3 linked regions of the Tamandua tetradactyla genome follow. The protein of the gene in region 1 interacts with the protein of each later gene in a pairwise test. Links are inferred from orthologs where the notes say so. Each region holds a gene or a part of one and is shown in the gene's direction. Other genes may lie near its edges.

Evidence for each region. The genes of interacting proteins can lie anywhere in the genome.
Region 2: the proteins of ERBB4 (region 1) and CFL1 interact in a protein complementation assay, tested with the Homo sapiens proteins (2 studies listed by BioGRID and IntAct, with this or other methods). The link is inferred for Tamandua tetradactyla from reciprocal best matches to the Homo sapiens genes ERBB4 and CFL1.
Region 3: the proteins of ERBB4 (region 1) and DLG4 interact in binary tests that used the Homo sapiens proteins (3 or more experiments, as listed by UniProt). The link is inferred for Tamandua tetradactyla from reciprocal best matches to the Homo sapiens genes ERBB4 and DLG4.

What each region holds. Positions count from the first base shown.
Region 1 is NC_135329.1:187,876,077-187,882,959, reverse strand, and holds the start of ERBB4 (receptor tyrosine-protein kinase erbB-4), read left to right. Parts: upstream 1-3,875; 5' UTR 3,876-3,981; coding exon 3,982-4,066; intron 4,067-6,883. UniProt on the Homo sapiens protein: Tyrosine-protein kinase that plays an essential role as cell surface receptor for neuregulins and EGF family members and regulates development of the heart, the central nervous system and the mammary gland, gene transcription, cell proliferation, differentiation, migration and apoptosis.
Region 2 is NC_135335.1:8,665,991-8,673,216, forward strand, and holds the start of CFL1 (cofilin-1), read left to right. Parts: upstream 1-4,213; 5' UTR 4,214-4,501; coding exon 4,502-4,504; exon of another isoform or gene 4,505-4,591; intron 4,592-4,910; exon of another isoform or gene 4,911-5,011; intron 5,012-5,946; coding exon of another isoform or gene 5,947-6,042; exon of another isoform or gene 6,043-6,353; coding exon 6,354-6,661; intron 6,662-6,939; coding exon 6,940-7,016; intron 7,017-7,226. Other genes in the region: structure-specific endonuclease subunit MUS81, read right to left, coding at 187-272, 461-529, 627-725, 1,249-1,334, 1,543-1,672, 1,767-1,901.
Region 3 is NC_135332.1:61,085,230-61,093,022, reverse strand, and holds the start of DLG4 (disks large homolog 4), read left to right. Parts: upstream 1-4,780; 5' UTR 4,781-5,115; coding exon 5,116-5,145; intron 5,146-7,793. Other genes in the region: ACADVL (very long-chain specific acyl-CoA dehydrogenase, mitochondrial), read right to left, coding at 210-335, 437-566, 806-950, 1,361-1,531, 1,609-1,673, 1,766-1,838, 1,922-1,984, 2,210-2,285 and 1 more. UniProt on the Homo sapiens protein: Postsynaptic scaffolding protein that plays a critical role in synaptogenesis and synaptic plasticity by providing a platform for the postsynaptic clustering of crucial synaptic proteins.

The sequences.
Region 1 (6,883 bases):
TTAGAGAGGTTTCAGAATCAGGCTGATGAGTAGAATGAATTAGGAAAATTGGGGACAAAGTTAAGGATCAGATTGAACTTTGAGTTCATTGTATTCTTTTCTCCCACCAGCAGCCTTCTGTTACTCATGACATCAGAACTTACTCAGAAAGCTATCATTAATGGAAGAAATGAGGCAGAAAGGGAGATATGGGAAAGCATTATAGGACAAAGCCATTTTAATGTTGGGATTACACTTCATACAAGGGAAATCATGAAAAAAAATGGGAAAAGGAACTCAAGAATATGGACTACATCAAGATGTCTTTCTCAAGGGGCAGGCTGCCTATATGATCCCATTCAAGTTGGAGAAATTCTTTTCCCATTTCACACTGTTCTTGTTTCAGGGAACAAAACAAAAATTGAAGTAACTTAAGGAAAATGGGAACTTGAACAACTAGCCACAAGAAGAATCCTCTTTGGACCCATCTGGGTTTTGTACCTTCCAAATGGCAGCTTCATTCTTTCCACTGCAGCCTGGTAATGCCTGTGTAGAAGGAAACATAGCCAAGCCAGTTTCAGAGTTGTTTTTTTTTTAATTTCTAAAGCTATCAGTGAAAGACTACGAGCTATTTCTCAGGGAAGGGACTCAGGGCCAGTGAACATTTGTCACTCAGTTAACAGTGACCAAGTGCTTTGATTGGTCCAACTTATAACTTGGCAGTGAAGGCAAGGTTGTTCAATGGAGGTAGATCCAATTTAAAAATGTAGAACTAAGGTAGGGTAATTCCTAGAAAAGGGTATAGCAGACAACTCCAAGTGATCATCTGTTATTTATGAAGTGCTTATACATACATACATGCTGGTTAGTCTTGTATTTTCTTTTGTTTTTCCCCAGGTAGCAAACAACAGCAACACATTTTAGTTAACTCAGTTAATGGGAATAAATTATAAAGATACAGAGAAAAGTGAAGAATTACAGAGAGCCCATCTCAGCAAGCGTACAACAGTCCAGCCAGTATATCCTTCTTTCCACATCAGGTAGTAAGTGTTTCCGAATCTGGAGGGCCTTTCTTACGAAGATTCCGTTGAGATTGGACACAAATGAGAGAGACACACATGATTCTTCCTCATGGTTTCTACTTTCTCATCTTTCCAACTTGCCCCCACACAGTACCATTTTCCTGTCTACATCTTTAAATCTCACATTGAAATTATTTGAACTAGACTCTGATTGGTAGAGCAGGCACCAGGATGCTTCTATTGAGTAGAGCTCTCATTCCAAATCATTTTATAAGCTGCTGTTCAAATACTCACTTTTGGCAAGTTACCAATCATTATTTCAATCAGAGACAGGAAAATGGAGCCAAAGCAGAAGAAACCGAGTAGTAGAGGCAAATCATGGTGTGTTAGGTATTTTAACTGGTAGACATCTTTTATGGGCTGTCTAGTACCCACAAACATAGACAAAGTTTTTTTCCCAATCAATAAACATTAGTTAAAAACCCTCATTTGCCAAGAGTTATTCTGGAAGGTATGGATGAGACCAAGACATACAAGAGAGTTTCTGTCACAAAAGAGCTATAAAATTGATAGGGAAGGAAAACTATCAGAAGGAACACAAGTAAAAAACAAACAAAAACTCCAAAACATTCAGACTATTTAATTTTTCCCACAATTTAAGTTAAAATACAAAATTAATATCTTGCAACAGAATTAGCATCAGAAACAAGACTTTTTTTTTTTTTTAAACACAGAGATTTAAACATTTCCAAAAGCAAGAAGCTTGTTTGTTTTTGTCACTTAAGTTTTTATCCTAGGGACAAAATGGGAATTTTAGAAAGTAACTTTCACAGAGGAGAGGTGTCTGAGAGTCATCATAAAAATCAGAAGAGGATTTAAGAAAAAAGGACTGAGAAGAGCTTGAAAGAAAGAATAAAAAAATAGAAGGGGGGTAAAAGAAATAGAAATCAAAGATGATCCATACCAGCAGTGAGCACAGTTTTGCTGCAATCTATACCATTCTGGGCAAATCACCATCATCTGCTCTCAGCTTAGCTTCTGCTCATCCTGGGCTGCTTCTGAGCCTCTTCTCAAGGCTTCCTATTTGCTGTGGGCCTAAGAGAGAAAAGGGTTCGGACTTCTGGGTCGCTGCTACTGTTCCTGTCTGTTCTTAGCTCCATGGAGCTTCTTAATGGGCTTGACTATAGATAAAAGGTATGGAGGAGGTCTCGAATGATGAGTGAAGAGGGAGGGAGGCTGATTTTTAGGCTCTCCAGATACTATTTATTTGTATATTTGCTGTCCCTAGAGAAACCAAAAAAAAAAAAAAAAAAAAGAAAAAAAGGGAATATAATTCATAGAATGCCTGTGCAAATAGCAAACCAATAACCTACTACCCCCAGGAGGTTCTGGACCCTATTCAGGATACAGTTCCAGAGCTGCATAAGGCAACGGATACGTAGCCTGCTATGACCTGGTCCCAAGATATTTCAGATCCAGAGAAGCCCAGAGACTGCCATAGCCAGCGCTGATCTGAGGAGTGCACATTTTCAGTGTGAACAAGGAAGGAACTTAAACCTGGGTCAGTTATATCTTGGCATGGTCTTCTTAAATCCTTTCAGGCTGAATAGTTCAGGCCTAGGACAATTTCTAGTCCATTAGGGCTAAATCAATAGCTTTGGAATAGAATCTGCATAATGAAAATGAACCCAAACCAAGTTGTCCTAGAGTACAGGGAAAAGCTAAAAAGACCCCTAAAGTTTAAAATTCAAAGAAAGTGCTTCTACAAATCTGTTTTGCTCAGTGTCAGTTACCTTGGGTGGGAGAGGCTGCATAGTCATAGTCGGGGAACAGGGATGATAACACCCCAGGACTACCTAATCTGTGTTGATTCCCAGTTATCATACCGAGGGGAGGGAGAGGCAGTTTTGCCCCCAAGACATGCTGATTTTGCTTCTATTCTAGCGAAGGTGCGGTCTGTGGATGAGTACCTTAGGGCAATGGTGAAAATGGTGACATCTTTAAAAAAATAAAAGAAAACCAAAAAACAGGCTCCGTTGTCTGCCACTCCGCGGGCCAGCTGTCCCTGGTGTCTGCTGGGGGAGAGAAGGGGAATGTTTCAGTCAGTGGCCTCGGGTAAGCCCTTTACGTTCGTCTTCCCCCGCCCCACCATCTACTCCCTTTTGCTGACAGGTGTTTTCCCGAACTCCCGAGGCTGAGGATTTTGGGGAGTGGCTGAGCCAATAAGAGTTCCCCGTGGGGGGGCGGGAGAAAGGGCGTGGCTAGTTGGGTCAGAGCAGGGGCGGGGTTTGAACTGCTGAGCAGTGCCGGCCTGGTTGCGTGGAGGGTTTTTTTTTTTTTCTTGTTTTTTTTTTTTCCGGGAGTCTTATTAATTTCTCTGAGGGGCTGCAGCTGGAGACTGCCGAGCGTTGGAAATGACGCTCGGAGCTTTAATTACCGCAGCCGCCGGACAAGTGTGAGGAAAGCTGAGAGAAAAAAGGACAGGATCGAGGGTGAAGCAAGACGCTTCCCCCCTCTCCGCCCCTTCCCTCCCGATTTGGACTGGAGGTGCAGGGAAGCAGAAAAAGGAGCCGAACGTAGCCCGGCTGGTGGGGAGAGAGACCGGAAACCTACCGCCTCTTTGCAATCAACTTTTTTTGGAAACCTTTTATTCCCCCCTTCCTTTTTATTGTTGACCAACCAGCGCGAGAGAGAAAGTGAGGAGGGAGCGAGAAAGCGAAGGCTCACACGGGAAAATAGCTGCACAGTCCGACCCGGAGCAGCACGCGCACATCCTCACGCCCCCCCCGGGTCCCCGCCCGGGACCCGCGCGCGCAAGGACTCCCTCGCCGGCCCTCGCAGCCCGCGCAGCGCGCGCGCCGCCAGCCAGCCCCGCTCGGGCCCCCACGCGCGTCGGGCTAAGGGATCTCCTTCGCGCCCCAGAGAGGGGATATGCCATTTGGACATGTAATTGTCAGCACGGGATCTGAGACTTACAAAAATGAAGCTGGCGGCGACAAGACTGTGGGTCTGGGTGAGCCTTTTCGTGGCGGCGGGGACCGTCCAGCCCAGCGCTTCCCAATCAGGTGGGTCGCGGTTCGTTCTTTTCGCGCTCCAGCTGTTGAACCTGCTGCCGCCGGCTTGGCTGCCTCCGGCGGCTCCCTAGCTCTCTCCGCGCATCCCGAGACCCGCCAGCTTCCAGGCGTAGAGGGACCACCCGCCCGTGGCCGCTTCTTTGGGCTCTCGGTCACCCCTCTTTCCATCCCCAAACTTGCCTTGTGTGCGTATGTAATTTATCGTGAAAAATCACTGCGCGCCCCGGTCTCTCTTTTTCCTCTTTCCTTTATCACCCTCCTTTCTTTTTCGTGCATAAACGGGATCCCTTCTGGTGGCGCCTGTTGTTGAGGACGTGGGAGACCCCCAATTCATTCAGAGGAGACTCTCCTGTCCGCGTCTTGGCCCTCGAGGCAAGAAGCCTAGGAGAAGCGCGCAGCGTGGGAGTGACTGAGGGGCTGGGGTCCCGGGGCGCTTGCCGGGCCGCTTCTGAGCCGCGGGGCAGTGCACAGTGAAGCTTCGAGAGCCGAGCTTTGCACCTGTGTGTGCTGCCGGTGGGCACTGCGCCCCCAGTCGCCCGAGCCTTCCCGGGTCAGACCCGGCTAGAACCCGGACTGGGCAGCTGGAGCGCAGCGGGCGGGCGTGCCTCGGCCCAGGCGCGGGAACCCTGGGCCTCTTCGGCCGGCGTCCCGGAGTCCCTGGCCCCAGTGAGTTGAGGGGCGCTTGCTTGCCAGCCTGACCTCTTTTTTTTTTAAAAAAAAAAAAAAAAAAAAGGGCTTGGCACGCTAGAGTCTGGAGCCCGGACTTCAGGTCGGTTGCTACGTTTGGCTCCGGGAAGAGTTCTTCCTGTAGTTCAACTTGCTGTTGGCCGGAGTCCCTCCAACTTCTCTGTTTACAGCCCGACTGGGCTGTCGAGCCGGCCGGTGGCGCGAATTGATTTAACCCCCGGAGGGCGCGCGGACTACGCTGGGTGCACGACCACTGTTTGCTGGGGAGCTTAAGCCCCGGGTACCTAGACAGGCAAACGCCTAAATGACCCCCGAGGCAGCGCAGTGGGGCTGGCGCTCCCGGGCGGGCAGAGCTTCTGATAGCACCTGCAGTGCGAGGGAGCTCAAAGTTTCTGACACTTGAGTTTCCTGTGGATGAATGCGGGATAGGAAAGGACTGAGGAGAACCGGTGTCTGACTTGGCCCAAGTGGGAGGCGGAGTGGGGTGCTTTGGAGAGCCGGGGAGATTTCCGGATCCATCCGGGGCTGGTCGCGAGCGTGTGGGAGGCGGCTTGAAGAGATAAAGCCACCTGGGGTGACGATAGGGAAAGCTTTGGGCCTCTGGAGCGTGTCTTCCTGACCTCAACAAGAAAACAGCGCTCTGTAGTTTTCCCGCTCCGCCCCCGCCTCCCCCTCCTTGCCTAGTAAATAGCAAGTTATAATCACTGAGGCTTTCAGAATGACCTTCGAATGGCACACGTGCGCCGTTTGTGCTGGCCATTTGCACCCTCCCAATTACTCCGCAATTCTTCATGCATACCAGGTCCTGCGCTCCAGCCACCTCCGGAATTACACACCAACACGGACTTGAGATTCCAAGCGGCCTCTTAGATACATCCCTTTTTATCTCCCTCCTCGCTCCGAGTCCCTTCATATTTCCCCTCAATGGGTTGATTATGCACATTGACCCATTCAAAAACTGTTGCGACTGACTGACATGCAGGCTTAGCTGAGAAGAATTTCTACGAGGCAACCTACTGGGGGCTGCATGGTTCAGCCTCAGCCGCGGGGGGACCCGGCTCCGAGTCCGCAGCGATTTGGCATCAACTGTGCGGCTCGCGGGTTGAGCTATGCCGAAAAAAACCTTTTCAGAATTTCTGCAAGGAATGTAATCCAAATTAGTTCTGCAGCTGTCCTCTTCCTCGTCTCAGGAGACGCCGGCTCGCGCCCTAGCTGGTCCCGTCCCTTCTCGCTTCCCGGAGCGAATTGTCAGACCCACAAGTGAGCCCATTTAGAGCGCGAGGATTAGCGTGCCATTGTTGTTCCGTGTGTGACTCTGTACTTGAAATTCTGGGGGCACAAAGGCGAGTCTCACTTGTTCAAAACACAAAGTGATAAAGATGAAAGGGCCGCACAAAGAAACGCTCTCGGGTGCATCCCTGGCATAATTGCGACACGCATGCTGGGGTGATCCACTGGAAACTGTAAATGCCCTTGGGACATTTTTTTTTTTAATCTACCCCCACCCTCACCCCACCACACCTGGCAGGGAAAGTTCAGCTGATTTTAACATAGTGCTATTGTAAAACCAAGCTACTGTCTGGAGTGAGATTGAGGTTCACACTGTGTGTTTGTGGTTGCGTTTGTGTGTGGCCGTATGTGCCCTAGTAAATAAAGTATTGCGCGTCTCCCCTCTCGCGGTTAGCAGTCAGTAGCAGTTTGGAGGAGTTTGTTTTGGTCCAAATGAGAAATTAAGTACGGATAAGTAAACTAAGCTGCCAGAGGGCGACAAGATGTTGAGTGAATTGCTTTTAGATGAAACAAATTAAGGAAACGAGGGAAGACAATCTGCTTCTCGCATTATTAGACACGCTTGGAGTTCGGGGGGGGGAAAGTAGCATATTTTTGAAATGCTAATTTCTTAAGCAGAAGGAATGCACCTTATTTACAGCTCTATGTGAATGGAATAAAAATATAGGGGGAGTCTATTGTTTATATCTTTGAGATTTTCTTAAAATAATTGTAATTGAAGACGATTTGCATCTATTTATTTATTCTTCCTTTGCATGGCAGAATATTCAGCTTTAGAGAAGACTTTTTAGTGATTTTGAAGGACTTTGCCTCATCTCCAGAAGTTTATTT
Region 2 (7,226 bases), on another chromosome or scaffold:
GCTTCTCCAGTAACCCCTGGCAATCTTCTTCCACTCATTGCCTCCATCTCTCAGACCCTCCTGGTACCCTTGCCCCAGTCTCCATAGTGCCTAGCATGAAGCCTGGGCATTGCTGGATGAATGCAGCACCCCACGAAGATGTCATGCCCCCTCTCTGCTTCCTGTGTCTCCCCGAGTTGGTTCCACCTGGCTGGCTGGTGTGTCCTGAGGATGAGGTTCCTGTGAAGGAGGGAACGGAGGGCTGGCCAGGGTCGAGCACTCTCAGGGGCTACCTGTTGATGGGGAGGCAGGGTAGGTTGAGGCTCTCAGGGATTCACTGGAGCTGAGTGTCCACATTATCCCTGCTCCCAGCCATGGGTCCGACCCCACATATTGCTCACTCCTGATGGATAGTCTCTGGTGGGCTCAGGGTTAGAAGTAAAGTTGCTCAGCCCCATCCTCCTTCTACCCCAGTGCTCACCTTAGGAGCCTTCTGAGAACACCTCTGCAGCAGCTGCTCCTTGGTTAGGAAGCCAGGGCTGCCAGGTGTCTGAAACCAAGGTCAAAATGATAGGGTAGGCTCAGCCCCCTTTGCTCTGCTCCCACTGCCTCTGTTCTCCCAACTCCTGGGCAGGCCAGACACTCACCAGGTGCTCCTCATAAAGCAGCAGCAGCACCACTCGTGGCCCTGAGTGCCGAGCTGGCCAGTAGCCACCAGAGCCTCCTGCCTTGGGCTTGGCTGGAACCTGCCAGGTACAGAGGGCTCTGAACAGTGGCTCTGTGGGGACGCCTGGCAGGGCCAGAGGACTTGAGGTTTAGGTCGACCAAGTCACTCAGCTGCCTCTCAGTTTTATTTGCAAAACTAGTCAGATGACTGGATGATTCCCTGCAAAGCTGGGCTGGGACAGGGAATGGTTGTGGGGGACTGGAACTGCCTGATCCAGCCTCAGTTCTCCAGAACCGCTGCCCACGGTACAATCTCAGTAAAGGGCAACTCAGTAATGGCAACCTCAACGATGTACCGGGCTGGGCCCCCTATGAAGCTTGCTCATAGAACTTTCTGAAAGATTCCTGCCAATATCCCTGCCTACAGATGAGAAAACAAGTCTCAGAGAGGATATCACTTGCCGGAGGCCAGGCATCACTGATGGGGAGATTTGTCTCCAGGCCTGCTAAATGTCAAATATTCCTCAAAATCATCCATATCACCAGATAAACCTTATTTCTGGTGATCCCATCTTTCCTTCTGCTCCCCGGCCCCCTCCTCACCGACACAGAAGGATCCTGGGCTTCTGCAGGTGGCCCATCCTGGGCAGGGCTCTTTCTTCCAGGTGGTGAGCCCGGTTCATGGGCACCTGCGGAGCCAGACGAGAGTCATTCCTGGCATTCCCACAGGAATCCGGCAGCTGGGGAGGAGGCTGGGAGGGACTCTGCCACTGGCCAGAGATCAAGTAGCAACTGGGACAGGTGTGCGAGAGCTTGAAGCCCAGGTATCCGAGGTGGGCACAGAGGCTGCACCTGGGTGGGCGGCTGGAGACGACCACCCCCGGCCCCTGCGCTCACCGCCGGATGCTCGGTGCTGCTGCAGCCGCTCGTCAAGCATCCGGCACAGCCGGTCTCCGAAGTGCTGTAGGATCTTAGCTTCCTTCCCGCTGCGCAGGGGCAGTGGGTATCGCCGGAGGGAGCGCAGCGCCTGGCGGGGAGAAGTGGTGCGGTACCGGGTCAGGGCAGGCCTCCGCGTCCAGCCCGGCCAGCGTTGGTCCCCTTCGGGCCCGGCCGGGACCCACCTTCTGAAATACAAAGTGAGTGCGGCGCCCCCTGCTGGCGGCCTCGTCCCGCCACTCGGTCAGCCAGCGGACGAAGAGCGGGTTGGGACAAACCGGCAGTGGGCGCTTCCGGCCCAGGCGGACGCGCGCCGCCATGGGCGCCGCGGCAGGCCTCAAGCTCGCGGGACTGCGACGCCGCCCGCTCGGGAGAGAGATTCGAACACCTGGCTCCGAGGGGAGGCGGGCCTCTCCGATCACGTGGTCCCGCCCGCGAGACACTAACTCCGGGCTAGCCTCCCTTCCCCCTCCCCGCCCCTACACTTCTCTAAGTGGCTCCCGGCGCCATCTCCGCGGCTCAGCGCTCCGCTCGCTCCCACCGCCCAACTCGGCCTCGGCCCGCGCCCCACCCGGGCCCCGCGAGCCTCAGCCACGCCCCTCCGCCCACTTCCGCGTCCAGAGCCCGGGCGATTAGGGAAGATCCTCCGCGGGCGGGCGAAAGCAAGGCGGACAGCGCCCCCTGCGGCTGGCAGTGCGCGTTGCGGGCGCGCTTAACCGAGCTTTTCCGCCTCATCCTTGCAGAGCCTGGGCAGCCCGACTGGGCTTACGAGGAGTCCCGGAGAGGGATGGTGGGTGGGAGATGGGTGCACGTGTATTTGCGGGAGGAATATCTACGTGAGGATACAGGGGAGGGCACAGAGGGAAGGCAGGAGTTGCTGAAGGACCACCGGAGGAAATGGCGGTCAGGAGTTAGGGGTCGCAGGGCAGAGTGGGGACCGTGAAATCGGGGACTTGAAAAGAGGGCCGAAGCCAGACGGGCGGGATAAGGCCGAGGGCAGGTAGAAGGGGACTACAGGTAGGAGGTGCTGGTAGGTGGGGAGCCTGAGATGGGGTGCGCATGATTGGATCCGGGGTAGCAGGCTGCGGGTAAGAAGCCGAGACAGAGGGAGAAGGGGAGAACACTTTGGACGTTTTTGTGGCACATTGGAGGTGGGGCACCCCCAGGGGGTTTGAAGAACCGTGTAAAGGGGTTCAAGGTTGAGGGGCTGGGCTTAAGGGTCTCACTAGGGAGTTGGAGCAGACCCAGGCCTCGGGCTGATATGCCGGAAGTCGCTAGATGCAGATCTCCAGGCCCGCCCCTCGAGACCTCACCCAGTCCGCGACCCTGGTACCCCGAAACCGCTAGGGACGCCCGCCTCCCGCCAGAAGCGGCCTTATAAGGAGCCTGGAGCCGGCGTTCGGGCTGGTCCCACCCCCTCCAGTCTCCTGTCCTAATAAGGACATCTAGGGCATCCCGCGGCTGGGGGGTGGGCGGGAGCACGTCTCCAGGGTAACTACCAAGCCCGCCCCACTCCCCTCGCTGCGCTTGAAAACTGCGAAGCGCGAAAAAGGTGGGATCAACTTACCAGTCTGGCACGCGCCCTTGTGAAAGATGGGGTTCGAGCTGCGGCCTCCCCCTGGGGCTCCCGGGAGCTCGAGGGTGGGGGTGGGGGTGGGGGAGGTACAGCAGCAGATCCCGGACTACAAATCCCGGCATGTTCTGCGAGGTACCCCCACTCCCGGGCTTCGCGAAGACCCGGCTGCCTGCTCTCCGTTAACACCCGTTATTCGGCTTATGAGATCCACGCCCCCGGTCCCATTGCTGGGTTTGTCTCTGACTTGTTTGCAATCTTGCCTTTTCTTGCAGGGTGTGAGGTCATGGTCATTGTCCCGGTCAGCGAAGTCTTCCCGGAGCCCTTCACCCCAAACGGTTTATTTCGTTAGTTTCAGTTTTTGCGGGTATTAGTTTAATCATCTAACTGGCTATCAACTCGAGAACAGCAACTTGAACAGGAGTGGGGAGCTTGAAGTCAAGGTATCCGAGGTGGGCACGGAGATTCGAGTCAGGTTTAATATGTTTCCTTTCCTCTGTGTCTAGTAAAAGGCACGTAGAGAATCCTTGAATTGAATGCACAAATCCTTGCCCTCCCTTTTCATTGCCCCATGGATGAATGTCTGCCAAACATCTTTAAACAAGGACAAAGTCCTCCTTTCAAAGTTTTCCCTGTAGCCTGCCTGTCCCTTGTGTTTCTTTTCTCCTTTTTTTTTTTTTTTTAAAGTTGCGTATGGCCTTTTCTCGGGGGACAAGAGTGGCTGTGCACACGGAGGGTGCTGAGTGAATGCTGGATTGAAGGCCCTTGTACTTGTCATTTTCCTTGCTTTAGAACTGGATTCCAGTTCATGGATAATTGCTTCCATTCCGAAAAGCAAAATCCTAACCCCACTCAAACTGGCCAGACTGAGAGATCCAGAAAGTGCCAACATGGGTCTGAGGAAAATCGTTTGGCTTCGGGATAAAGAGCCGCCAAGTCGGGGCTCCTTTCCCTGTCAACCTTTACTTGCGGCGGCACAGATTGCTCAGGTCAGCGCGTTTCCTAGGAAACCACCAATGGGCGCGTTCTCCGTTCCCACTGCCCGCCTCCCGACCCCCTCCCCGCAACCTTGGACTACACTTTCCGGCATGCAGTGCGGGGCCGGAGGCCGGCTGTCGAGAAAGACCCCGCTACCAGCCGAGCCGGAGGACGGCGCAGGACCCTCGGACTTCATTTCCCGTCCGCCCGCGGGGAGGGGCGCCGGAAGCCCGCCCCGCCCCTCATTGTGCGGCTCATACTAAACGGAAGGGGTCGGGAGAGGCCGCGTTCAGTCGGATCTCGGCGGCAGCTGCAGCGGTTCTCATCTTCTCCGGTTCTCCTTGCTGTGTCCCTTTAGCATCCAGAAACATGGTGAGCGGCAGGCCTCAGCGCCCGAGGGGAGGCGGCTGCGGGCCGGTCGTCTGTGCGCACGGCAGGGGACGGGGAGCGACGTCGGCACCCCTCAGCCGGCGCCGCGGGCGGGACGAGGGTCTCGCGCTGAGGGGCGGGCGGCTCGGGGTGCGCGTGCGCGCCCGCGGGCGCCGAGGAGGGCCGGCTCGGACGTCGCTCGCGCGCCCCCTGGCCTCCCCTCCCCTCCCCCATCCCGCTGATGCGCCCGCGCGGACATCAGTCGTGGGGGGAGGGGTCCGGGTCGCGCGCGCGCCTGCCCCTCGCGATGCAGCCGGCGCGCGGCGGCGCGGACCGAAGCGAGTCGGTTCCCGTGGGGCGCGCGCTCGACCGGGGCATGCGGCGTTCAGAGCCCGGGGGCGGCGAGGGGAAGGCGCGCGAGCGTTTTGGGCACGTGCGCCCCACCCAAGGGCTGTTCGTGCCTCCGCGCCATCCTCCCTCGGCCGGCTAACGGGCCTGTCTGGAGAGCAGGTGGCAGGGATGCCCGGGAAGGGCGGGGGCGGCGCGGCTAAAGCGGGGATGCTGGGGCGGCGGAGAGCGGGTGGGAACCTGGTCGGGCTGGATTTGGGGCCTCCCCTCCAACGCCCGCGCACGGGAGCGAGCGAACCCGCAAAGCGATCCGGGTCCTCTGCTGGGTATACCCGGCACGGGCTGGAACGGCGCTGGCGGCCGGCGCGTGCGCACACGCTCGGGCCCGGCCGCGGGGGCCGAGGCCCTGGACAAGCGGGGCCATCGGCCTACCCAGATGGCCTGAGGGTGGAGCCGAGCCGAGGGAAATGACCCAGGCGGTTACCGCTTGAGAACACCCCGCCCACTGTGCTCGACCTGAGCTGTCCAACTTTCGTGCCGCAGGGGATAGGGTTTGAAATGCCCGTCGGGAAAAGCGGTGCTAAGGGTTAAGGGCCCGGAGGTGCTGCTGCCTCGGGCAAGGGTTTCTCTCTTGGGGAGGGCCAGGCCTAACCTATCTTCTCCCACTCCGGAAGCGGCTGCGTCACGTGGCCGGCTTCCTCTGCAGTTCCAGAGAGGGGAGTACAGATTTCACCGCGGACAGTCCCTGTCTTTCCTTACTGGGGCTTCCCCTAGGAGGACGTAGGGTAGAAGTTTAAAAAACTCTCTAGCACTCTGGGCTCTAGAGTTTGGGTTGTTAGCTTCTACCGATGATCTCTGAGGCCTTGCATCATCCCCCGGGGACAGAATTGTCCTGCAGAGCCCTCATTGGAAGATGTCATTCTTGTTTTAGTTGGGGGACAACTAAAACAATAATTTAGTGAATAATTTAGGTAATAACTGTATTGAGCAGTTGTGATGAACTGTTGGACACCGTGGTGTCCCGTCTAGCGTTTGGGGTTCTGGCTACCTGTTCCCTGAAGAGAAGACCCATGGCCTAGGTGTTTGGGTCCTCTTACCATCTCTGAGATATTCCAGGTCAGCACTTTTCTCACAAGCCAAGATTGAGTATTCTGAGTAGGAAACGCATTGGTAGCCTGTGGATTCGTTTTCATGCTGGGTTGGCATCTCAGCTGAGGTCCTGCTTGTCCCGCGTCATCAGTTTCCCTGCCTGTGAAACGCAGGGGGGTGTAGAACTATGTGATCCGAGGTCTTCTCCATGGCTGCCGTCCTGTGGTTGTCTCCCATGTCCCATCCAGTCCTTTGGCAGTGGCTTGTGTGGGGAAAATAATGACATTTGCCTTGGAGTGTGGGGTCATGGACTATACTGTGGCATCCAGACTTGGGGCCCTCTGAGAAGACAAGGGAGACTTTGGGGAGATTCCAGCCACCTGTTCTTAAGAGGCACATACTGCTTGTCTTCCAGGCCTCTGGCGTGGCTGTCTCTGATGGCGTCATCAAGGTGTTCAACGACATGAAGGTGCGCAAGTCGTCAACTCCAGAGGAGGTGAAGAAGCGCAAGAAGGCTGTGCTGTTCTGCCTGAGTGAGGACAAAAAGAACATCATCCTGGAAGAGGGCAAGGAGATCCTGGTGGGTGATGTGGGCCATACTGTCGACGACCCCTACACCACCTTTGTCAAGATGCTGCCAGACAAGGACTGCCGCTATGCCCTTTATGATGCGACCTATGAGACCAAGGAGAGCAAGAAGGAGGACCTGGTGTTTATTTTCTGGTGAGCTCCTCATTCAGGCACTTCTTCGTGTCACCTGTCCCAGCTTTGCCTTGTCCCCCTTTCTTAGGATGGTAATTTTTGTGACTCTTGGTATAACCTAGGGGTGTGTGCTTGTGGGGAGAGGGTTGTTGCAAAAACACTTCAGTGTCGGTGGGCAATGCCAAGGCTTGAATGCTTGAAAGCTGGTTAGATGGTTCTTCAGAGTCGTTTATTGAGGGTGGTTGCTGAGCTTGGAGAAGGGGCTTTGCCGTGAGCTCCCCGGCTGTGTTTCTTTCTAGGGCCCCTGAGTGTGCACCCCTCAAGAGCAAAATGATCTATGCTAGCTCCAAGGATGCCATCAAGAAGAAACTGACAGGTAAGGGCCATCACGGGTGCTGTTGTGTGCCTTTCAGCTTTGCTGTGTGCTAAGGTGACTGGCATGGGGGGCGGGGCCTCCTCTTCTCTTTCCTGCCTGTTGGAAGGTAACCTTGTTCCCACCATCTGCTCTGATTGGCTCCTTCCCAGCTGCAGGAACTCTTCTCCCCCACCCCAGAGCTTCCTGCTCACGGATGCTCCTTCTTCTTCC
Region 3 (7,793 bases), on another chromosome or scaffold:
GGGCTGCAGAGCTTGGCTGCATTCTGCCATCATGTGTTTGGCCCCCTGGTTGCCAGGAGCCAAGGCTTTTGGTCAACTACATACGTATTTGTCCCACAGGGAAGCTGCTTTGGTTTCTGCACACATCCCCAGGGTGACACAACAGTCATCAGCCCTGGAGTGCAGCAGGACCCTCCCTCCACGCCCTACCTCTTCCCAAATCCACTCACTGGGTAATGCCCCCAAAGCTCCTCTCCACCACAAAAGCTGTGATCTTCTCTTTTGTGGTCCCTGTGGATGCATCTGTAATTGGTGTTTTGGCAAAAACGGTGAAGATTTCGGCTAGACCCCCGTTGCTGTGGAAGGATGAGGAGGGCAGTCAGGGTGAGGCTAATTGAGAGCTATGGGGTCTGAAATCAGGGAGGGGTGGAGAGGAGAGAAATGGGAGGAAGATTGCCTGATCCAAATCTTGCTTCCATTGAGGGTATAGTATTTTCCACAGGGGCTTGGCACAGCTGAGGTTCGGATGGAGGCAGCATCTGATCCACTTGAGGGCTCAGTGAGGCAGAAAGCAGCGATAGTCTCCCCTAGTTGGGGAGAGAGATTTACTGAGGGTCATCATGGGTAGTGAAGTCCCCTCAGTGTCCCCCAGCCCCTCCTACTGGTCTCCCTTAATGCCTTGGGCAATATTCAGTTTCCTTTCGTTACCCCAGACTCTCCTGCAACTTAGGTCCCCAGCTTTGCCAGTAATCTCAGCACCCGCCGGCCTAACTGGTGCCAAACCCAGGACACCCCCAAGCCCCCGGGTCTCCCAGGACTGCCTCACCAGATGCCAGTTTGGGGAGGTATTTTTCTTTCTGGGCCTTTGTGCCAAAGAGCAGGATGCCTTTGAAACCGATGCTCTGATGGGCCCCCAGAGTGATGCCCACGCCGAGGTCATGCATTCCCACAATCTCCACTAGGCGCGCGTACTGTGGGGGTGGGTGGGAGGGTAGGCAGGTGTGGGGCTGGGGTGGGGCCCAACCTGGGCCATCCCCACAGAGCCAATGCAGAGAGCAAGGTCAACTGTGAGAAGGGCACAACAGAGGGCACTGTGTCCACCCCAGTCTTGGTGGGAGGGGGACTTCCTGCTCTCCTTTTGCCAAGTGGTCCCACCTGACAGATTCACTTAAACTCGGAAACCAGGGTAGGGTCTGTGGCTGCAGGCAAGGGCACCTGTAGTCAGTGTGTTAAGTTTGAGGATGTGTGTGCACGGTGGGGAGAGTCAGCATCCCACAGGCTCCCGGGGCAGTAGTCTGGTCAGGAATGAACCCTAGAGGTGAAGAAGGGGCTGACTGCCAAGCTGGAGTGGTTTGGAAAGTGACTCGGGGGCTCTCCTCACCTGGGTATTGCAGAGGCCCACACCGCCCAACTCACTGGGCACTTGCAGACCAAAGGCCCCCAGCTCCTTAAGGCCCTGCAAAGTAGTCTCCTCCACCTGCTCCAGAGCGTCATTCTTGGCTGGATCATTCACCTCCTGGGAAAGAAGTCTCCGGATCCCACATCCAGACTCCTTTTAAATTCCTTAGCCCTGCCCCCCAACACCCTAGGGTCTAAGCCCTCCATCCCTCAGCTTCAGTCATTCCTTACTTGGAAGAAGCGGGACACTGGCCCCACAAGCTCCTTGAGAAACTGTGTCTGCTCCTCAGTGAGCACTGTGTAAGGGCAGGAAGAGGAAATGCAGGTAAGACAGGGCTGTCAGGGGAATGCCCTACCCCTCCCCACCTCTGAATAGCCATTCCCTTACCAGATGGGTATGGGAACACTTGGTCCGTGGTGAGATGGCCCTTAAACATCCCCACAGCAAAGGACTTAGATTCCTGTTCAGGGAAAAGAGAGTTTCAGGAAATTGTGTGGGACGGCTCTTTCCCAACTCAGTTCCCACGGGCCTTGGAACACATACCGTGTGGAGTTGTTTCTCTTTGGTGGGTACCTCAGGAAGGGAATCTGACTTATCCAGAACCGCCTGGGAAAAGGAATGGTTAGCGAGGTCGGGGAAGGGGCTTCCGGTGTGTCAAGGAGGGCAGATCCGGTCACCTTTCCCCTAGTTCCATCTCCTGCCCTTTCCCCTACTTCCGGTGCCAGCCTGCAGAACAGGTGTCTGGGGCATAAAGGGTGAGCCCTACTGACCGTGGGGCCCCGAGGCGAATCCCGACTCCCACACCTCTCTCCCACGTCCGTCGTCTCTCACCTGGGTGGCTCCACTGGCGTAGGGTCGGAGGGCAGGGCCCGGTTTGGGCTGCCCCAGGAGCGCGCTGCACCGCGAGCTGAGGGAAATGGGAGTTCAGGCCCGCCCCTGGGCCCCCCCGCTCCCCGTCCCCTGCTGTCATACACATACCTGCCGCCTCCTAACAGGAGTAGCTGCCGCCCCACGCTTGGGGCTATCCTTGCCCCCTGCATCTCCGCGCTGCTGAGGCCCCGGCTGCCTGGAGCTGACCTAACGCTTTCGCCCCGCCTCCCGCAGCCGGGTCCCTTCCACTTGACGCATCCTCCACAATGCACCGGGAGGCGGGCGGGCGGGGCTTCCCGGCGCCGGGCATGCCGGGAGTCGTAGTCCCGGAGCGCCCCCAGGCCCTGCATCCTGGTTGACCTGGAGTGATCTCCAAGCGTCATTTGTCCCTTCAAACTCCCTTATCCAGCCTGTCCAAATGAGAGGCTAGCCCTCCTCGGGAGGGATGATGAGATAGGATGGGACGGAAGAGGGAGGAGCTGAGGCGACTGCAGCCAGAGGGATTGAAGGTAGACTGAAGGGAGGACTTCCCACGTAGCATTAGAAGGGAGAAATTGAAAGACAGAAGTGTAAGGTGAACTCTAGAGGCAGACACATGGAAAGATGACTTTTCAGCCCCGAAAGAAATCCATCAATTTCAACCACAACCAAAGGGAAGGGAATGGTTGGGTGGGGTCTCAAACTATCCTCTTGAGACGTAGGAAGTGACACTCGAAGCACCGAAAATTTCACAATAGATGGCACTCCAGCACCCTGTGTTCACTGCCTCCCCCTATGGCCTCTAAGGCCTTCCTGGTCATCCATCTCTTTTTGCCCTCTGCTCCTTCCAGGATCATTGGGTCCAGGCTAGACCTCTGGGCAGATGGATTTTTCTGCCTGAAAAGAGCTATAGGAATACTCATCCCCTCTCTCTCCCATACTTCCCTGTGTGCTGACCCAGCCCTGGGTCAAAAAGTCTCAGGTAATTTATATTCCACTTCTGCAGTTCCATTGGGGAAAGGGCCCAGGAGGATAGAGCTGAGCTCAACTTCCTTACCTTTGTGCTGCAGGAACCTCTGTGTAGGGAAATTCTCTCTCCAAGCCCCACAGGAGAGCAGCTAAATTTGGGAAAAGAGGCCAGGGAATGTGGAGAAAGGGGGTGGCCGTGGGATCTGGGAAGGATGGAGCAGCAGGGCAAGTCAGTCAGAGATGTCTCCTTTCCCCAACAGTTAAAACTGGGTGGAGAGAAGGCAGCTCAATTTAATCCTGGGGGATTAGGGAGATTAAAATGAGAGAAGGGAGAGATGTCTGAGAGACCAAGAGGTGAAAGACGGAGCTCCTTTGGAGGGGTGGCCTGGGAGCAGAGGTGGGGGAACATGGTGCTGAGAGTCCCAGATTCTTGTCCTGAATCTTTCTGCAGGGTCTGGGGTAAAAAGGCAAAGGGTAGTGTTCCTGTAAGTGTCTCCGGCTTACCTCTTCCTGGCCCGATTCTTCCCTCACCTCCATTTCTCTAGCCCCCAGATCAGCTCTGTGGCTCCTGGCCCCCCCACTATTGCGGTGGGCACCCCCACTCCTTGCGGTGCTGCACAGTGACCTCTTCCAGGCCTTGCTGGGTGAGTAACCCCAATTTTCTAGGGGTTAGTTGTGGAAAAGGCTGGTTGGGACCCTGGAGCCTGCTGGAGGGGCTCTGGCCTTCTAGACAGCGGTGGTGACAGGAGAGGCAGAGGCCAGGTGGGGGATGTAACTCAGCTCTGTTCCTGTGACAGACATCCTGGACTATTATGAGGCCTCCATCTCAGAGAGTCAGGTAAGGGGGCAGCAGCAGGGGGCAGTGGCCTGTCTTGCAGAGGGAGCTGGCAGGATTAGAGGGGTCAGGAAAGGATTAATATTTAACTGAAGATGGGGTGGGGGTGGGGGTCCCAATAAGGGAACCCTGAGTCAGGGGCTTAGGGGCTTGGGGACTCCTGAGAATGTGCTCTTGCCTGTCCTTCTCCCTTTCCTCTGCCTGCCCCAATTTCAGACAGGAGAGTCCAGGACATAATTACTTTTCAGGCTTCCTTCTGGGAACCCCAAGTTAGAAGCAGTTCCCCAGGGATTCCCTCCTGCCAGCCCCTCCCTCACACCCTACCCCCCACCGTGGCCTCCCTCCATGATTTATTCCATCATGGGTGCTCCCAGCCCCAACCATGGGTGCTTCCTCCCCTAAGAAATGAAATCCGCCTTCATTGTCTTTGCTGCCGCGCTGGTGGCCCCAAGTCTCCATGTTTGCCTCAGGGCCTCTCCGCTTCTGCTTCCATCTCCCTTCCCATTATCCGGGTTCCTGCCGGCATTGAAGGAGTTAACTCTACCAAGGCACCCCCCCACAATCTCGCTCCTCGCTCCCTCCCTCCCTCCCCCTGCTTCCTCTCTCCTCCTCTCTCCCCTTCCCTCCTCGGCTCCACGGCTCCCTCAGCCGCTGCCGCCTCCAACCCCCCCACCCCACTCCCCCGCCACGGCCCTTAGCCCCTGGCCTTTAGGCAAGACCCCCCCACCCCCAGGGCTCCCCCAAATCCAGTTCCCCTCCCCCATCCCATCTCATGCCCCAGCTCCCGAACCCCGGGGCTGCCAGCCCCCGGTGCCCCTGCCCCTCCTGAAAATCGGGGTGTGCTCCCCAAGCCCCCTCCCCTTCATTGGGGTCCCCCTTTTAGGGCCCCCTTTCCCTCCCTCCCACGCTCCCCTCCTCTTCCCTTTTCCAACCCTCTCCTTCCCCTCTCACCCCTCCCCCCATCCTGGCCCCCCCTGCAAAAGTGGGGTGCGGAGGGGGGAGGGGTGAGAACCTGAGGAGGGGAGGAACGAAACTCCGATGAAGTCAGAGCCCCTTACCCGCCGCCGCGGCCAGGCCCCCCAACATGGACTGTCTCTGTATAGTGACAACCAAGGTAAGCGTGATGGAGGGGGGCCATCAACGCGGGTGGGGTGGGTATGAGTTCGTGGGGGGGCAGGCAGGCCTAATCTGGGACTGGGGGCTCTGGAGTGCGAGCATCAGAAATAAATGTATTTAGGGGTCATCATTTAGTTTTGGGGTGCACATCTCAGAAAAGGCTGGGTTTGGCCACAGGTGCCCCCTGGAGTGATCCCTTTGAACCTGTAGAGGAATTGAAATTTGGGGGTGTTCTATGGTTTGGGGGCTCTTGTGGGTTTGGGGGTTCACCAGCTATGTTTGAGGGAGACTTATTGAAGGAGAAGCCTGGCTCACATGGTAGTCCTGCTTGTTATGTTGGAAGGTGGGCTAAGTGGAGGTGGTTGTCTTCTTCCCTCCTGGGGTCCAAACTGGTTTCCAGGTTCCTTGTCCAATTTGAGGGGTTCTTGTGTGTGGGGGTAGAAGGTTATTGATTGTGAGTGCCTGACTGGTTTGGGGGTGTCAGCTGGCAGGGAAGGGGTGGGCCTTCAGGCTATAGAACAAGCATCTTGTGGTAAATATATTTTTTGGGGGGTACATCCTCAATTTGAGGGAACTGCTAATCTGGGGGTTCAATCATATGGTATGGGAATAGTTGAGAGTTGTCAGAGGGCTGGTGCCCAACACCTGAGGGTGGACTAGGTGAGGCTAGGATTTGGGGTACCCCCATGGGAGGTGGCAGGTTGCAGCAGCTGAGGTTGCCAGCTCCTGAGGAGGCGAGAGATTTCGAGAGAAGGGATTTGAGGAGGGAGACCAGGTAGACAGTGTGAAATTTGGGGGTGGCCCAGGCAGGTACCCAATCTCCCCATCTCCTCCCACACTGCATCCACCCCTGAAAGGGGAGAAGAGCAGATGGAGGAGGAGGCTTCTGCTACTCCTGAAGCTTGGGACCCAGGTGGGGTGGGGGGAGGACACCTGGATGTAAGGGTCCCTAAGATTTATGACCTAGGTTTCCGGGGTGAAAAGGAGGAGGAGGAAGGCAGGGCTGGCAGCAGCCAGAATCTGTTGTCCCTGTGATTGGAGCCTGGGACAGGCAGGAAATCTTGGATGGGAACTCAAGCCAGCTTCTGGTGGGATGCAGAATACCTGGGTCTTTGCTGGGAGACTCTGGGACTGGAGAGCTGGATGCCTGGAGTGTGGAGGGAAGCTTGGGCGGATGGCAGGCAGCTGGGGGCTGGGGGGTGGGACAGGAAGTGGGGGCCGGGGGGGGCGGGGTCCGGGTGAGTCACAGGCTGGGGAGGGGGTTATATTTAGTGGGAACTGCAGCTTCTCAGGGGAGGAAGCTGAGGACACACATGTTCCCTGCCACAAACTCACACATGTGTGTACACATGCGTTGTGCACGTGTGAGCATGGATGGAACAGATTGAGGGGGTTGAGGCCCTTTGGTCCTGGAACCCCTAACCCCTCCCAGGGTTACTTCCTTGTCCTTTATTCTGTGGCCTACCTGCCTGGGCCACCCCCAAATATCAGGCTGCTTCCCTCCTCCTCTGGGTAGTTTTAGTGGATCGTTGTTCCTCAGTTGCTCTGGCCCAGCCTCCTTTGATGTCTGTCTGATCCTCTGCTCCTCCTGTTTCCTGCCCTTGGCCTTAGGCTCTCTGGCTCTGGTTCCCTGTGTACAGGAAACCCATTGGAATCTGTGGGCTCTGCTTCCAACACTTAAACTCACAAACGAGTGAGGGTGAGGGGCTTGCCTGCTCTGGCAGCTATCCTCAGGGGGGCTTATTCATCCCCCTACAGATTCCTACTTCCCTGATGGAGCGCGAGGTTGGGTATCCCCAGGAGAAGGCTTATGCAGAGAGGGTCCTGCATTTGGGGTCTTACAGAGACGTGAAGACCCGGTCTTGCCACATTCCTTGGCCGGAAAACTTGTCTGCCTCGCCATAGCGAGGACTCCAACTCCCATAAGGCACTGAGACAGAAGCTCCCTCAATATTAGAAGATTGCTGCTCGCGGAGCTTTTGGGAGTTGTGGTTCAGCCTCTATCCAGGGCAGCAGAGGGTAGCCCAGAGGGAGCCAGCAGGGGGCACACAGCTCCTGCCCCCCCCTTAAAATGCTGGGTGGGGTAAGGAGCGCTCAGGCTGCTTGCGGTCGTTGAGCTCCCAGCATTGTCTGAGAGACCTCCATCTTTCCTTGCCTATATTTAGGCTCCTGCCGCAGTAATTTAGGGAACCTATATTGGATGCCTACTATGTGCCAGGCCCATGTTTTGTGCAAACTCTGCCTGTACAGCTTTCACTGGGTCTAACTCCTTGCCTCTATTTCTACCGGCATTTCGATCTCGGCATCTCTTTCTCCCACTCCGCCCCCGTCCCTGCCCCCTTCTCCCCGCGCTGCTGCCGCCGTTGCCATGGTAACCGGCGACGACTGAAGTTGCGTGGCTGGCTTGAGGGCTGGACGAGGCTGGCGGAGGGTGGGGCAGAACAAATGGGGGAGGGGGAAAAGTGGGGAAAAGACCAGGGGTATTTGGCCAGAGCCCCGGATGCGAAGAGGTTAAACCCTCGGGGTGGTCCTTATTGGGCAAAGCGAAGAAGCCGGGGGCGGGGCAGTTTGGCAAACGGCCTCATTCATTGGCCGACAGAGGCGTGGCGGAGGGACCGTGTGGGCGAGGCCCCAGAGCGGATGGGC